Rattus norvegicus: one gene and its partners. The protein of the gene in region 1 interacts with the protein of each later gene in a pairwise test. Links are inferred from orthologs where the notes say so. Each region holds a gene or a part of one and is shown in the gene's direction. Other genes may lie near its edges.

What was found.
Region 2: the proteins of Rbm10 (region 1) and Sf3b4 interact in binary tests that used the Homo sapiens proteins (3 or more experiments, as listed by UniProt). The link is inferred for Rattus norvegicus from reciprocal best matches to the Homo sapiens genes RBM10 and SF3B4.
Region 3: the proteins of Rbm10 (region 1) and Thap1 interact in binary tests that used the Homo sapiens proteins (3 or more experiments, as listed by UniProt). The two-hybrid records come from large-scale screens. The link is inferred for Rattus norvegicus from reciprocal best matches to the Homo sapiens genes RBM10 and THAP1.
Region 4: the proteins of Rbm10 (region 1) and Cpsf7 interact in binary tests that used the Homo sapiens proteins (3 or more experiments, as listed by UniProt). The two-hybrid records come from large-scale screens. The link is inferred for Rattus norvegicus from reciprocal best matches to the Homo sapiens genes RBM10 and CPSF7.

Annotation. Positions count from the first base shown.
Region 1 is NC_086039.1:4,094,797-4,098,542, reverse strand, and holds part of Rbm10 (RNA-binding protein 10), read left to right. Parts: intron 1-32; coding exon 33-120; intron 121-1,126; coding exon 1,127-1,310; intron 1,311-1,407; coding exon 1,408-1,547; intron 1,548-1,662; coding exon 1,663-1,780; intron 1,781-1,863; coding exon 1,864-1,955; intron 1,956-2,055; coding exon 2,056-2,220; intron 2,221-2,884; coding exon 2,885-3,034; intron 3,035-3,136; coding exon 3,137-3,202; intron 3,203-3,279; coding exon 3,280-3,468; intron 3,469-3,553; coding exon 3,554-3,628; intron 3,629-3,746. UniProt on the Homo sapiens protein: Binds to ssRNA containing the consensus sequence 5'-AGGUAA-3'. May be involved in post-transcriptional processing, most probably in mRNA splicing. Binds to RNA homopolymers, with a preference for poly(G) and poly(U) and little for poly(A).
Region 2 is NC_086020.1:186,420,152-186,424,583, forward strand, and holds the start of Sf3b4 (splicing factor 3B subunit 4), read left to right. Parts: upstream 1-1,515; 5' UTR 1,516-1,752; coding exon 1,753-1,786; intron 1,787-2,163; coding exon 2,164-2,292; intron 2,293-2,736; coding exon 2,737-3,279; intron 3,280-3,504; coding exon 3,505-3,711; intron 3,712-4,432. Other genes in the region: Mtmr11 (myotubularin-related protein 11), read left to right, coding at 249-395. UniProt on the Homo sapiens protein: Component of the 17S U2 SnRNP complex of the spliceosome, a large ribonucleoprotein complex that removes introns from transcribed pre-mRNAs.
Region 3 is NC_086034.1:72,609,855-72,614,391, reverse strand, and holds the start of Thap1 (THAP domain-containing protein 1), read left to right. Parts: upstream 1-1,701; 5' UTR 1,702-1,934; coding exon 1,935-2,005; exon of another isoform or gene 2,006-2,058; intron 2,059-4,220; coding exon 4,221-4,416; intron 4,417-4,537. UniProt on the Homo sapiens protein: DNA-binding transcription regulator that regulates endothelial cell proliferation and G1/S cell-cycle progression.
Region 4 is NC_086019.1:216,602,676-216,606,421, forward strand, and holds part of Cpsf7 (cleavage and polyadenylation specificity factor subunit 7), read left to right. Parts: intron 1-656; coding exon 657-1,071; intron 1,072-2,501; coding exon 2,502-2,620; intron 2,621-3,746.

The DNA of each region.
Region 1 (3,746 bases):
GTTTCAATTCCAGTTTCTACTGTCCTCCCCAGGGATATGGCCTCCAATGAAGGCAGTCGCATCAATGCTGCCTCTGTGGCCAGCACTGCCATTGCTGCTGCCCAGTGGGCAATCTCACAGGTACTTGGCCTCTGCCCCCATCACCCTGGCATCTAACTTTCTTAACCCTTCTGTATTCTTTCTGCAAACAACAAAGTAGACTTGTTAACAAACTGTTGTGCCCTGTTACAAGTGTTGTAGGCTTTCCTACCTTTACTCAGTTACTCCTGCCTTTCTAGATCCATCCCTACTCCATCCCTTCTGTCATTCCCAGTCACTTGTTAGACTTTTTTTCTTCTTTAAGATTTGTTTTTACTTTATTTTTATGTGTATGAGTGTTTTGCCTGTACCTATGCATGTGCACCATGTGTATGTGCAGTGCCTGCAGAAGTCAAAAGAGGGTGTCTGATCCCTTCAACCTAGATTTTTGAATGCTTGGAATAACCATATAGGTGCTGGGAACTGAACCTGTCTTCTGAGTCCTCTCTCCATCCCTGTCTCCTGCACTTTTCTTGCTAGCATTCCCTGGGTTGGTTGTCTATGCTGTTGGGGAGTACTTTTTTTTTAATTGTTCTCAGTTGGTCTAATATGTTGCATATTCTTTGAGTGTGTGTGTGTGTGATTCATCGTTTAAGTATATGTGCCATGAATAAAAAGGAATTTATAAGTATCTAAAAAGTACTTTGGGAGCCAGATAGAGTGATAAACACCTGTAATCCCAGTTCTTATGAGGTAGAGGCAGGAGGATTGCCAAAGTCCCAGGCCAGCATGGGCTACATAGGTGTAGGTGGGGGGGGGGTAAAGGAAAACAAAAGGGAAGAGATTAAGAGTGTCTTGCTTGGTATGAGGAGTAAATAACACATGTACCTTATCAGTATCAGTCTAGTGTACATTTGGACATGTAGCCTTTTCCTGTCTCTTTTCTTGTGACTGTTCTCTTATGACCAGGACCCCTTGATTTTTACTTAAGACTACATGCTTTTCTGTCAGGTAGAAATCCTAGCTCCACATGTAGGGACGGGTACTTTTAGCAGATTTCTTTATTTATGTTCCCTCCTGATCTAATGATCTCTCTTCTGCCCCTCAGGCCTCCCAGGGTGGGGAGAGTACCTGGGCTGCCCCCGAGGAGCCACCAGTTGACTACAGCTACTACCAACAGGATGAGGGCTATGGCAGCAGCCAGGGAACAGATTCCCTCTATGCCCATGGCTACCTTAAGAATACCAAGGGCCCTGGCATGACTGGGACCAAAGGGGACACATCTGGAGCAGGTGAGCCTCATCCTCTCTTGCTGAGCCTAATTGTGGGGCCTAGAGGCCATATGCTCTGACATTCATGGGCATTCATTCTCCTTGGTTTTCTTTTCAGGTCCTGAGACCTCCCTTGAGGGTGGGACAGACTCTGTGTCACTGCAGGCTTTCTCTCGAGCCCAGCCTGGTGCTGCCCCTGGACTCTATCAGCAATCAGCTGAGGGGAGCAGTGGCCAGGGCACTGCTACCAACAGCCAGGTGAGAATGGCATTGGTACTCTGGGGAGGCTGGTAGGCTGGCAAGGTGCATCCTGAGTGGGCAGGGTGGTATTAACAGACACTGAGTCCTGTTCCCTTATGTGACCCATGAGTAGTCATATACCATCATGTCACCTGCTGTGCTCAAGTCTGAGCTCCAGAGCCCTACTCATCCCAGCTCTGCCTTACCACCGGCCACCAGTCCCACTGCCCCAGAGTCCTACAGCCAGTACCGTGAGTATCCATAGCCTGTGGGTAAGGGTATGGACTTCTCTAAACAGAGAGGAATTCCACAACCTTGCCTTTGCTCCCCACAGCTGTTCCTGATGTCTCTACTTACCAATATGATGAGACATCTGGCTACTACTATGACCCCCAGACTGGTCTATACTATGATCCCAACTCCCAGGTAAGTGATAGGGTAGCTTAGGGAAAACTGGAGTGTGGCTTTGTGGTAGCTACCTCTACACATACTTCCTCACATCCCCTCTTCCCATTCTCTCCTTCAGTATTACTACAATGCTCAGAGTCAGCAGTACCTATACTGGGATGGGGAGCGGCGGACCTACATACCTGCCTTGGAGCAGTCTGCTGATGGACATAAGGACACAGGGGCATCATCAAAGGAGGGAAAAGAGAAAAAAGAGAAGCATAAGACGAAGACGGCCCAACAGGTGACCTTCCAGCCATCATCTGGTTGTTTGGAGTCTATGTTCTGTCACTTTTTGCTCTCACCTGCTTTAGAAAGAAGGGTGGTGGGTAGGTATGGACAGGGATAGTAACTGTTTCAGATAGACAGTACTCCTGAGCTAGATCTCTTTTGAGGGTACTATAGCAGGACCATCTGAGTGAACTCTGACAGCGTTTCTCTATCCTACAAAGGAACCTTCATGCTGGTGGTAGATGTGTATTGATCCCAGAGAAATTCTCATACCCTATAAGGAGTTGAGTAGGAGAAGAAACACTGCAGGGTTTTCTAGTAGAGAAAAATTAGAAGGAACCTCAGTCTCTGTGGAGAAAAGGTATGGCATTGAAGCAAACAATAAATATTCTCTCCACCTGATTCTCAAAATGTTTCATGCCCCAGGAAAACCACAAAACATTAATGTGACATGATGTCACATGCCTTAGTTAGGTTTCTGTTGCTGTGACAATCACTGACCAAAAAAAGCAGTATGGGTATGAAAGTGTTGATTCCATCATAAAGGAAAGTCAAAGGAGGTACAGATTTGAAGCTACAGAGCAGGAAGGGTTCTTGCTGCAGGGGCCATGGGTGAGAAAGTAGAGAGCCAAGCTTGAGGAATTCTGGAAACTGTAACCTCAACCCTTAACCCCTAGATTGCCAAGGACATGGAGCGGTGGGCCCGCAGTCTCAACAAGCAAAAAGAAAACTTCAAAAACAGCTTCCAGCCTATTAGTGCTCTACGAGATGATGAAAGGCGGGAATCAGCCACTGCAGATGCAGGCTATGCCATCCTTGAGAAGAAGGTATATTGTAACTATCCATCTGTACCCCACCATTCTTTAGGTTCTCTTACCATTCTTTAGGGTTCTCTGTGGAGCTTTGAATTTCTGTTTCTTCTGCCTCAGGGAGCACTAGCTGAAAGACAGCACACCAGCATGGATCTCCCAAAGTTGGCCAGTGATGACCGCCCTGTAAGTTTCAGGACAAAAGGGGTAGGGGTCCCTGATCTTAGCAGGTGTGACTGACTGCCCACCCTTACCCTCTACAGAGCCCACCTCGAGGGCTGGTGGCAGCCTATAGTGGAGAGAGTGACAGTGAGGAGGAGCAGGAGCGAGGGGGTCCTGAGCGGGAAGAAAAGCTCACAGACTGGCAGAAGCTAGCCTGTCTGCTCTGCCGCCGCCAGTTTCCCAGCAAGGAGGCGCTCATCCGGCACCAGCAGCTCTCTGGACTCCACAAGGTGATTGAGGAGAGAGTTGGTAGGATAGCCCGTGTCTAGCCCAGCCGAGCCTAGTTGCTTTACTCTATCCTGTCCCCCTTTACAGCAAAACCTTGAGATTCATCGACGGGCCCACTTGTCAGAAAATGAATTGGAAGCACTAGAAAAGAATGACATGGAGGTAAGATGTGACCCACTCATTGGCTCCATCTTGTCTGTCCCCTCCCAAGTTCCTGTTCCTCCAGCCAGTGGGACTTGAAAGTTCCTTAGCCCTCTATTGCTGTGAGGCTTCTTCCTAG
Region 2 (4,432 bases), on another chromosome or scaffold:
AGAAAACTAGCCAGGGAGTTGTGGGACACACCTTTAATCCTAGCTCTCAAGAGGCAGGAGCAACTGGGTCTCTGAGTTTGAGACCAGCCTGGTCTACAGAGTTAGTTCTAGGATAGCCAGGGCTACACAGAGAAACCCCAGTCTTGAAAATAAAAACAGACAAACCTGAGAAAAAAAGAAAAAGAAAAAAGAAAAAGGAACTAGACCTGTGACAATCTCTCTTTGCACCTTCCTTTGCCTCTCCCCAGATAGGCTCTTCAGCTCTCACAATCTCTGGCCTTCAAGATGAGCTGTCTCATCTTCAGGAACTATTAAGAAAATGGACACCAAGAATATCTCCGGAGGACCACAGCAAGAAAAGAGATCCAAATACTATCCTTTCTCAGATCTGCTGAAACTGCTAGCCATCTCAAAGGCAGGGCAGAGGGCGGGGGTTTGTTTCTGCTGATGTTTATGTCTGACCTTGGTGCTTCGGGTTTGGTATTCCAGTCTGTAAAGCTCACTTAGTAGGCCAGTTTCTGTAGATGGTGCTACCAACCTCCAGCTCTCCTGTCTCGTTTGGTTCCTGGAGCTATTTTTGTTTCTTGTGATTTGAAAAATAAGAAACAAAACCAATTCAGAATGATTGCCTTTTTTCGAGGCAATTCTGTGCCATTTGGATGGTTGTCAAAAGTATGATATCAGAGACCCTTTTCATCAGCCCCAGCAAGGTGTCCTAGAGACCTCATTCTCAACCCCTCAACACTACATTGAAATCTTTTCTTAGTCTTCTGTGGGAATGAGGTGAATAAGGGAGACACCTCCTCCTCCCACTGTATATTTTTGTAGCAGCATTTCTATTTAAGGAGTTCATTAAAGCACAGTATTTCTACACATTGCTGGTATTTTCTTGTATTGAATGAAGATCTCAGCAAAGCGGTGGTGGTTGTGGGGTAGTGTGAACTGAGAAAAGGACACTTATTATTGTAAGGAAATAAAGGATTGGCAGGGCTGGGCAGAATGCACATGAAATATTGGGAAAGCCCCCCCGCCCCACACACACATACGCACACACACCTTTTTTGAGACAAGGTCTCTCTGTATATCAGGCTAGCCTGGAATTTTTTTTTTTTTTTTTCCGAGACAGATTTTTCTGTGAGGCCATGGCTGTCCTGGATCTCGTTCTGTAGACCTGGCTAGCCTTTAGCTCAGAGATCCACACCTGCCTCTTAAAGCTTCAATACCTGCCTGTGAGCACCCTCGGTCTCAAATTTCCCAAGATTGGAGGAGCTCTGACACTTACGGGAAACCAAAATACCTCGAGCTCAAGCCTAGGCCGAGGGCGAATCTGCACGAGCGTTGTGGACCGAATTAAAAATAGGCTGTTTTCAAAGGCAGTCCTGGCCCTGGATATGGCGGGACTTTGCCTAGCACACGTCTCTGCGTCACAGAACATACAAAGCTTGGTTTAGCATTTCAATTTGCGCTTGGGGTGCAGTGTGATGCCCTAACAGTCTGGAAGCATTCAGGGCTTTAGTTAACTGTATCAAGACCGGCTGATTCACTTCTGTTCCACCCCGATTGCTGCGGCAGCTCCAGAGCACCTTTCCCTTCTGTCCGACACGAATCTGACTCCTAAGATGGCCGCGATCGCTTCCGGCTCCTCCCTTGTCGCCGGCCCCGCCCAATGTGAGCCTTGGCCCGGAAGTGGAAGTAGAAACTGAGGTCAGGGGGGCGGTGCTGCTGCTTAGAGACGGCGGGAGCCCTTTCGCCATGGCTGCCGGACCGATCTCCGAACGGAATCAGGGTAATTGGGAGAAAAGAGACCAAGATAGGGGCAGGGAAGTGAAGAGCTGATTAATGCCAGAAGCATTTCTGCTTGGGTGGGAGACGAGATCCCTCTGATGTGAGACCGACCTCTGGGCGCCTGGCTCGCCTCGAGGCCAAGTGGAGGCCCAGGCCTATGAAGAGTGATGCTTCTAGATCCATTCTCTTTAAATACTCCTCTACCAAGAAGACAAAATTCTCCGGAAATACAGGATCAGCAAGAATGCCAAATTAGACGTAGCGGATTTTTCTAGACTGTGGAAGCTGAGGGAATTTCGGGTCTTTAGTTAACGTTTTTGGTTTTTATTTTACTTTTCACTCTTGACCCTCTCCTTACCTCCTGCTTCTTCCCTTTAGATGCCACGGTGTACGTGGGAGGTCTAGACGAGAAAGTGAGCGAGCCACTGCTATGGGAGCTCTTTCTCCAGGCAGGGCCAGTGGTCAACACCCACATGCCAAAGGATAGAGTCACTGGCCAGCACCAAGGTGAGTACATGTCGAGAATTAACCCTGTATAGCGTTAACGGCCCCTGAAGAGTCACAACTCCAGTCACAACTACTTTGGAATGAGCAACCTAAAGGTTCTTTTCCCCCTTAAGCTTCAGTTCAGTTTTTGGAATAGTTTCTCTTAGCACTAGTTACTGGAACCATTCTCAAGTGAAGTAAGATTATTCTTCTGTCATGTTCTTTTTATTGTTTTATTTTCAAGACAGTGGTTCTCTGTGTAGTCCTTGGCTGTCCTGGAACATGCTCTGTAGACCAGGCTGGCCTCAAACTCAGGGCTCCACCTCTGCTCCAGCATGGTGGCATTAGAAGCATGAGCCCCCACCCAGCCCTTACCTGCTTTGTTCTTTGTGTTTGCAAACTGGTGAGTTAATGTTTGATTTTGAATCTCTTCACCTGAGTGGTCTTTTTTCATTGGTTTCCTAGGCTATGGCTTTGTTGAATTCTTGAGTGAGGAAGATGCTGACTATGCCATTAAGATTATGAACATGATCAAACTCTATGGGAAGCCAATACGGGTGAACAAAGCCTCGGCTCACAACAAAAACCTGGATGTAGGAGCCAACATTTTCATTGGAAATCTGGACCCAGAAATTGATGAGAAGTTGCTTTACGATACTTTTAGCGCCTTTGGAGTCATCTTACAGACCCCCAAGATTATGCGGGACCCTGACACAGGCAACTCCAAGGGTTACGCCTTCATTAATTTTGCTTCATTTGATGCTTCAGATGCAGCAATTGAGGCCATGAATGGGCAGTACCTGTGTAACCGCCCTATCACTGTGTCTTATGCCTTCAAGAAGGACTCTAAGGGTGAACGACATGGCTCAGCAGCTGAACGACTTCTGGCAGCCCAGAACCCGCTGTCTCAGGCTGACCGCCCTCATCAGCTGTTTGCCGATGCACCCCCTCCACCCTCTGCCCCCAATCCTGTGGTTTCATCCCTGGGTTCTGGGCTTCCTCCACCAGGTACAGCTTGTAGTTCAGACTATGCCAGTGAGGCCCATGGGAGGGAGGTCAGGGGGCAGAGGAAGCCCTGGAAGAGTAAGCTGTGAAGTCAGTGGGCAGTGAGGGAGGAGTGAGGATGCTGGTGGGAGGGAAGAAGTTGGTGCATGTCCTTAGGAAGCTGGAGTGTAGCATGCTGGGAAAGACATTCTGTCCGATACCACTAATTGTCCTTCATTTCTTAAACAGGAATGCCACCTCCTGGTTCGTTCCCACCTCCAGTGCCACCTCCTGGGGCCCTTCCTCCTGGGATACCCCCAGCAATGCCCCCACCACCTATGCCACCTGGGGCTGGAGGACATGGTCCCCCAGCAGCAGGAACTCCAGGGGCTGGACATCCTGGTCATGGACATTCACATCCTCATCCATTCCCACCAGGTGGGATGCCCCATCCAGGTAAGTGCGCTGAGCTTGTAGAGGGGCCTTTGTACTGCTTCTCCCAGTGCTCTTTGTCTTGGGTGGAAATAGTCCAGAGTCCTTTTCTTCAGAAAACAAACAATACTTTGTACATGTTGGTGTGCTCCTGTGTTATCTCCACCTATAGCTTGTGCTTGGCAAAAGCTCTCAACCTCTCCTCTGCTTCCAAGGTTGCCAAATCTAGAAGACATTTCTGCTTTTGGTTTTTCGAGACAGGGTTTCTCTGTGTAAACCTTGCTGTTCTGGAACTCCCCCTGTAGACCAGGTTACCCTTAAACTCAGGGATCCTCCTGCCTCTGCCTCCCAAGTGCTGGGATTAAAGGCATATGTATTTTTAGATTTTCTAATGTCAACTTTAGCAACCTGGATCAATTCCTTTTTTATGTATGTGTAGATTTCGTGCTTGGTTCTCTTTTCTGTGTTTATCTGTAGTGTTAAATGTGAAGGTTATGATTTATTCTGGGTCTCTGTTCTGAGGTTCTTGGTAGACTAGAAAAGGCTGCTGCTCAACCCACAGTTTACTTTTCTCTTTCCAACACCATCTTCAATGGCTCTCACTTGTAGGAGCCCAGTCCACAACTCTGGGGGTTTGTCTGTTCAGTCTTCCACTTTACATAGCAAGTCTAGCTTATGTTTTTGTTGTTTGCCACAAGCCAGTGCTCTAGACTGCACTGCACATCACTTCCTGTAGGAATCTTCC
Region 3 (4,537 bases), on another chromosome or scaffold:
TAAATAATTTGTGACAGTGCTGCTGAGGCAACTGGGTTCAGTAAGATGCTGCCAGCCTCCAGAGCACCCTAGTTCAGATTCGACACAGATATAATTACATAAGCACGTAACTGCAGAGAGAAGTCCAGAAAGGTAAAGCCTTACTTGGGGAAGGTAAGGGAAGCAGACATAACACATAAGATTCATCTTAAGGATACATGGGGAGGTCAGGGGATGGGCATCCCAGGCCAAGCAAAACTCTGTATTTGAGCAGTTAAAGGAGTTGAAGGACAAGCAGGGCAGGATGGTAAAAACACAGAGTACCTGCTGCCTATGCAGCCACCATAAGCAATTTGGATTTTACTCACTCCAGAGGTAGACTCTGAAGTCTAAGTTTTATAAGCAAGGAACTGGCAGTGTTTTTACGAGGGACAGAGAGAAGGCTGGAGACTAGGACTGACAAAAAGTTGAGTAGGAGACTGAGTACTTGAATTCAAGATTGCTGGTGAGAGAATAACCAAGAGGTACTAGTTTTACTCTATGAGATTAACCTAAGTCTTGAGGAAGGGGGAGAAATCCTAGGAGCAGCTGATAAAAACACTGGGAACCAAGACTAATGGGAGTTGGGTCCCTGGAAGCCCACAGGGTGGAAGGAAGAGAATCCACTCCCACAGGCCGTCCTCTGACCTACATGTGTGCTTGGTGCCCATTTGCCTAAAGTTATAGATGGTGTGAACTGCCTTGTGGGTGCTGGGAACCGAATCTGGGTCCTCTGCAAGAGCAACAAATGCTCTTTACCACTGAGTTAAGTCCTGGTTTTGTTTGTTTGATTGATCTCATTGATACCAGGGTTCCAGATTTAAGTAGCCGGCAAATGCATTAAACCACATACATGGTGACTCAGAAGGCAAGTCCATGTGTGCTGAAGTTAGAGGGGCTAGTAAAGGATGGTATGCGGGCTCAAGAGTCAAAGGTCTACAATGATGTCGGGCACACGCGCCCCAGACTCAAAACTACAGAAGGTCAAGCATGTAACACTTCTCTCTAGCATGAAAAATAGCTGCAACAGCTCGCAATTTCCAGCACAGACAGAACGCAAAGGTAACAACGTTCCAAGCTGGAGAAACGGCTCAGCGGTTAAGAGCACTGACTGCTCTTCCAGAGGTCCTGAGTTCAATTCCTAGCAACCGCATGTGGCTCACAGCCATCTGCAGTGGGATCCGCTGCCCTCTTCTGGTGAGTCGGAAGACAGCGACAGTGTACTCACAAATATAAAATAAATTTTAAAAAATAAGTGCTTTTGATTCTCAGCTTAGAAGAAATGAAATGCACGTCTGTACTCGCTCTTTAAGTAGACGGCCATCTGGATTCTGAACGTGGAACACAGATTTGTATAAATCACACCTCCGCAGCCGCCCTTTTTAAAAATTACATGTGACCAGGGACGAGCTTTCCCACCTTCCCTTTACGCTTCTGGGTCCAACAGGCGGTTTAAATTGAATTAAGTTTACCACACTCACCAATACAAGACCCTACAAGAGACTAAAGCAAGGCTCCCAAACAAACGCGCTTTCTTCCGGCCAAGGCGCAGAGGACCCACCCACTTCCGCACTGCTGACCACGCCCCCCAGGCACGCCTCGCCCTAACCAATGGTCAGCTTCCCTGGGAACGTTACCTTCGGCTAATCAGAGCCTGCGAGCGAACTCCTCGCGAGAGGTGAGGTTGAAGCTGCCTCCGCCATCTTGAAGATGGGAGACGAGCGACAGCTGTTGTCTTTCTGCTAAAGCAAACACCACAACGGACCGGGTGGTCACCCCCCACGGTGAGGTAATCGTCCCCATAACTGCTAACCAAAGCCACCGAAAGCGGCGACCGTATCAAAGCCGAGCGCGGCGGCACCGACGGCCCCTTCACCTGCCTCCCGGGCAGAGGGGAAGTGTGGAGGGCCAGAAGGATGGTGCAGTCCTGTTCCGCCTACGGCTGCAAGAACCGGTACGATAAGGACAAGCCCGTCTCCTTCCACAAGTAGGTAACTGGCGTGCTCCGCGGCCGCGGCAGGGGCGCGCGGGCGGGTGGAGGCGGAGCCCGGCGCGTGGCCGCGCGAGACCTGGAGGAGGCGGGGCGGCCGGCGGGCTCGGGCGGCAGACGGGGCTGGCCGGCGGGGGCGGGGACCCATGGCTGCGCGTTCCCGGCGCGCGCCGCCTCCGTTGGCTGGGCTCTGCTGAGGCTGCGGCCGCGCCTTTGCGCTCGTGGAGGGTTTCTGGCGAGCAAGCGATGGACGCCTGGAAGCCTCTCGCTGCCCTCCGGATTTCGTCCCAAGCCAAGCCGTGGAAATGTCCCATAGGGATAAACTGGAACTAGAAAAGCATGGGAGGGAGACCTGGCTTCTGACCTCGCTGCTGCTGTTAGGAGGGAAGCAGGATAGCTGAGTGTTGACATCTGACCAGGACTTTTAGACCTGGTTTCAAAGAACCAAGCTTTAAGGATCTGTGGGTTTTAGAGGTGACTCTTGGTATTGCCAAGATGAGCCCCAGTCTTTCAACACACGGTAGTAATGAAACGATAGCATTCACTTTACTCAGATGCCCTGGGAAAGGTTGATGGAACTAATGTTAGCTTTCCCCCACAGCTGTCAGGCCTTGTTCTTGTGTGTGCAGCAAGCAAGAATCCAGGATGAAAAATACTCTCTTGAAAGAAGAAGGCAATAGAATTAACGTTACTGATGGTGATTATTAGCAATGCTAACGGTCCACAAAATGTGACATACTTTTAGGCAGCTAAATTCGTTATTACAAGTTTTATGTTAGGTTTTGGAAGAATTCCTGACTGTATGCAGAGAATAGCTAAGAAATCAGACCCACTGGAAAATTATCCAAACTGTCTATAGGGAAAACAATTACAGAAACAAATTTCAAAATGTTCCCTCAGGGATTTGGGGAGCTAGTGTTTTTGTTTAAAAGTGTTTGTTAGAAAGTAAGAGTTGTATGCTGGTGTTTTCTCTGTGGGAAGAGGATAGAATATGTCCAATTACTACGACTTGATTGATTGAAATTTCATACGCCTTCAGAATGTCAGAACAGATCAGGAAATGGTGACAGGGATATGCATCCGACTTGCCACTTCCCTTTCCTATGCTTTATTAAGATGGCCCAGGAGTCTTCAAATATGCAGACTAGTTAAAAATGGCACACATCGGGGTTGGGGATTTAACTCAGTGGTAGAGCGCTTGCCTAGCAAGCGCAAGGCCCTGGGTTCGGTCCCCAGCTCTGAAAAAAAGAAAAAAGAAAAAAAAAATGGCACACATCAAACTACTGTTTCAACTGCTGGATGTTGAAACATAAAAACAAGAATGAGTCTTATTCCTTATGTAAGAACAGTAAATGGCAAAGATCTTGACAGTTCAGAGTTTGTGCTCTATGCCAGGAGATGAGATACTAAGATTTATAAGAAGCTACCACAGTGGTTGTACTTCTTTTCAGGAATATCTTTTTTCCAGCCTGTGTGCAGTAGCAGTGGAGAAAGCTGGCTGTGTAAAGAATAAACACTAGCAGGAAGATTGGTTAGGTCTTCATAAAGAAAATGATGATCAGGGTCCCACATACCTTATGTAGTGGAATAGTAAAAATAAGTGGAAACATTCCTTTTCAGCCATTTCTGATTCCTCTAGCATCTCCCACCAAGTTTTTGTTATAGAAAAGCATAGTGGCAATAGATACAAGGATTCCCCATTCCATACACTGAATTAAGCCATAAAATAACGTCCTTACCATCTTTGTCACTTGCCCAATTCAGGATGTAGTCTCTTTGTTGGAGTGATTAAAAAGAGCTAGACGTCTATTTCAGGATGTAGACATATGTCCAAGTTTTGTTCTATAAGACACAAAATTTTTAGTAAAAATATGCGTAGAATTTGCACATATGATCAATTTTTTTTCTTTTCTTTTCTTTTTTTTTTTTTTTTTTTTTTTGGAGCTGGGGACCGAACCCAGGGCCTTGCGCTTGCTAGGCAAGTACTCTACCACTGAGCTAAATCCCCAACCCCACATACGATCTATTTTAACTGAACTGTTAAGTGTCTTCAGTATAAAAAGGTGAAGCTCACTGAGTGAGAATAGTAACCGGAACTGATCTCCAATCAGATTCTCCTTAGTATGTTAAGATTTTCCTTAGTATGAGAATGGGGGAAGGGTATTATTTATTTTTTAAAGTAAAGTCAGAGAACTGAATTGTATCTTCTTAGGTTTCCTCTTACTCGTCCCAGTCTTTGTAAACAGTGGGAGGCAGCTGTTAGAAGGAAAAACTTCAAGCCCACTAAGTACAGCAGTATCTGTTCGGAGCACTTTACTCCAGACTGCTTTAAGAGAGAGTGCAACAACAAGCTACTGAAGGAGAACGCTGTGCCCACTATTTTTCTCTATATAGAGCCACATGAGAAGGTAATTTGGGTTCTTAAATGCTGGATTTGTTTTTTTCCTTTCCCGGTCTTTTCTTTGTTTTCTTTCCTCCTCTGCATTCTCTTCCCCTCCCATTCCTTGTGTGAGACAAAGTCTTAAGTAG
Region 4 (3,746 bases), on another chromosome or scaffold:
GTTGATCCCAGCATAAGCTTGCCTTGAGCATTGGCCCTAAATGTGAGTTCTAGTTTAAGAAGCTCCTCCATGTTTGCTAAGCATCTTTTTGTCTGCAAATCTCTCCCAAGGCCATGTCATGTTCTCTTGGGGTCTACTTTAACTAGGCTGAGTTAACTCTTTGAATAAAATGTAGGTAGAGGATGGCTCTGTCTCCTGCTCTTCCTGTTCTTTCTTTAGTTCCCTGACTAGAGCTCCATGACAAAGAGAATGTTTCTAGAGTTCAGCACAATAAAATATAACTTGTAGTGGTCTTGGGTCTCTGAACTCTTGGGAACACAGGATTCAAGGCATGTAAAATCCAGCAGAACATCACTGAGCATGCTTAAACATCCTTTCCTTAAGGGTTGTTGGAGCATGTGTATTTATTTGAAAATAGGAAACAAGGTTTCTCTTAAATTAAGAGTTCTGTTGCTTTTTGAAGTTGTCCTAACCAGAATACTTCTGATCTTTCTGCTGAGGCCAATGGAAAGGCACCAAATGATTTGTTTCTTTTCTCTTACCTGCTTTACTTGTATTCTTTTATGTGGTACCAGACTTGCTGAGAGATGAGCTGGTCCTATCGCTATAGCCAAAGCCTGCCTGGGCAGTAATATAAGCTCTGTTTTGCTTTGCAGGAATACCTCCACGGGCCCACTCCCGAGATTCTAGTGATTCTGCTGATGGACGGGCAACCCCCTCTGAGAATCTTGTACCCTCATCTGCTCGTGTGGATAAGCCCCCCAGCGTGTTGCCCTACTTTAACCGTCCTCCTTCAGCCCTTCCCCTAATGGGTCTGCCCCCACCCCCAATTCCACCCCCACCACCTCTCTCCTCAAGCTTTGGTGTCCCTCCTCCTCCTCCTGGTATCCACTACCAGCATCTCATGCCCCCCCCTCCTCGATTACCTCCTCATCTGGCTGTACCTCCCCCTGGGGCCATCCCACCAGCCCTTCACCTCAATCCAGCCTTCTTCCCCCCACCAAATGCTACAGTGGGGCCTCCACCAGATACTTACATGAAGGCCTCTACACCCTATAACCACCATGGCAGGTAAAAACTATATTTCCCTGCAGCTTTGAGCCAGGATAGTAGAGTATATAGTGTTGTTTGTTTGTTTGTTTGTTTGTTTGTTTGTTTGTTTTTGAGACAAGGCCTCACTTATATAGACTGCCGCCCTCAAACTCAGCAGTTCACCTGCCTCTGCTTCCTGAATGTTGGTATTAAATTTCTGTCATATACTATTACACCAAGCAATAGTAGACAGTGTTTTGTCAGACAGTGATGATGGTTTGTGTTTTTAGTTCCAGTACTCAAGAGGCAGAGTGGGTGAATCTCTTGAGTTTGAGGATAGCTTGGTCTACAGAGTGAGTTCCAGGACAGCCAGAGCTACAGAGAAACCCTGTCTCAAACAAAACAAAGGGGCTAGAGAGGTGGCTCAGTGGTTAAGAGCACTGACTGTTCTTCCAGAGGACAGGGGTTCAGTTTCCAGCACTCAGTTAACTCGCAACTGTCTTTTAACTCCTATTTTCAGGGGACTTGGCACCCTCACATAGACATATATACACGGCAGAATAGTAACTTTTTTTTTTTTTTAAAGAAACAAACAAAAAAAACAGTGTTTTAGACATTTGTTTTCCATGAATGAGCACTGAATGCTGGTGGTTTTCCTCTGTATTCTCACTGTGATGTCGAGTCCTGGGGTATAGATTAGTATCTACCAGAGGTTTGTTTTACATGCCTGTATGTGCAAGTACACATGTGTATACAGCTACATGTGTGCTTGTGTGCACTTGCATATGGTAGCCAAAGGACTTTTAGTGTCATTCTCAAACATGCTGTCGGTTGGGGATTTGGCTCAGTGGTAGAGCTCTTGCCTAGCAACCGCAAGGCCCTGGGTTCGGTCCCCAGCTCCGAAAAAAAAGAAAAAAAAAAAAAAAAACATGCTGTCCACCTTGCTTGAGACAGTCTTTCATTGGCCTGGAGCAGACCCAAGTAGATTAAACTGGCTAGCCAGTGGGCCCCAGGGATCCACTTGTCTTCCACTTTCCCAACACTGGGTTATAAGCACGCTCCACCATGTGTGATATTTTTATGTAGATTCTGGACATTGAACTCAGGACCTCATGCTTACATGGCAAGCACTTTATGAGCCAAGTTACTTCCCACAGCTCTCTTTTTTTTTTTTTTTTAATTGAGTGTTTTCTGTTTTCAGCTTATCTACTTGACCCAAAACATCTCTTTCTTAGCTCCCTTTAAGCAGCTTGTTTAAACTCTGTGCCATAAATGGCTGCTGCAAATGCTGCAATGATTACTACTGTTGAGTTAAACCAAAATTAGGAACACATGCTATAAATCCTGTCCTTAAAGTAGAGAATGAACATTTAAGACATACCTAGAGAAGAATTGAGTAATAGTACTGTAGAATGTGATGAAAATAAGAAAGGTTGTGGGCAGTCAACTGTGTAATTGTCTCTCTGCAGCCGAGATTCAGGCCCTCTACCGTCTACAGTGAGTGAAGCTGAATTTGAAGAGATAATGAAGCGAAACAGAGCAATTTCCAGCAGTGCCATTTCCAAAGCAGTGTCTGGAGCTAGTGCAGGTGATTAACTCTTACTTTACTGCTTTTGCCTTAAATTTTTCCCCTTTGTCATTTCCATCTGGAAAACTTTAGAAGTTAAGTTGGAGCACTGTTAGAGGTCAGAAGATGTGCGGCAAGCACTGGGGTTTTAGAAGTGGTACCTCAACTAAAGAAGTCTGAGCAGAGCTGGTGACCTGTGGATAGGCTGTCCTCTAAAGGAAAGTCTGTTGTCATCCTAAGGCATATTACCCTTTCAGCTAACATGCCCTCCCCTCAGCAGTGCATGCAGAGTCAGCCCCTAGGATTCTGAAAGCCCTGGACATAAAAGAAGAGGATGAAGAGTGCAAAGTTTATGGTTGTAACTCAGTAGGTAGAGCAATGGCTTGGCATACTAGAATAGAAAGGTTTGGAGTTCAGGTCATTCTCACTTTTTCCTGGGGGTTTACCATATGGATCTAAATGTAATATAGACTGTTAATACTCAAAGAAGGAAGTTCAAATTGACTGTTAACCTGTTTTTCATAATTTCTGAACTTTGGTTTCAATTTGATTCTGCAGAGTAGTTTAAAAAAAAATGATGTGTTCTTGTCAGTTCTTCCCTCACCAGAAAAACATAACTTTACCTCTTAAATTAAAAAATAGTGCATGATCATTGTTATACAATATACAGAGGAGTTTAGAGAAAATCATCTTTTTTCCTTTTTCAATGTCAGTCTCATCACCCTGAATGGCAGATAAGTAAATCTTTTATCTCCCCCTCTTTTTCTTATTCCAGGCATAGAAACTATAATACTTATTCTCTGTGCCTCTAAAACAGAACTTCCTTGCCAGTATAGAGTTGTTGTTCCTGGTCCTTCACAGTGCCGCAATTCCTGCATACTTTCTATCCATTCTATTCTTGCTACTTTGCATAAACAAAGCCACCCAGTTATCATTTTCAGCGGACCTCTGTGTGGATTTGTTGAGTCAAGTGCACATTTAAATGTACGTGTGTGTGTGTGTGTGTGTGTGTGTGTGTGTGTGTGTGTGTGTGTGTGAGAGAGAGAGAGAGAGAGAGAGAGAGAGAGAGAGAGAGAGAGAGAGAGGATAGTTTGTGCACCACAATGGTCTCATATATATGGTGTGTTTGTGTGTGTTGCGTATATCA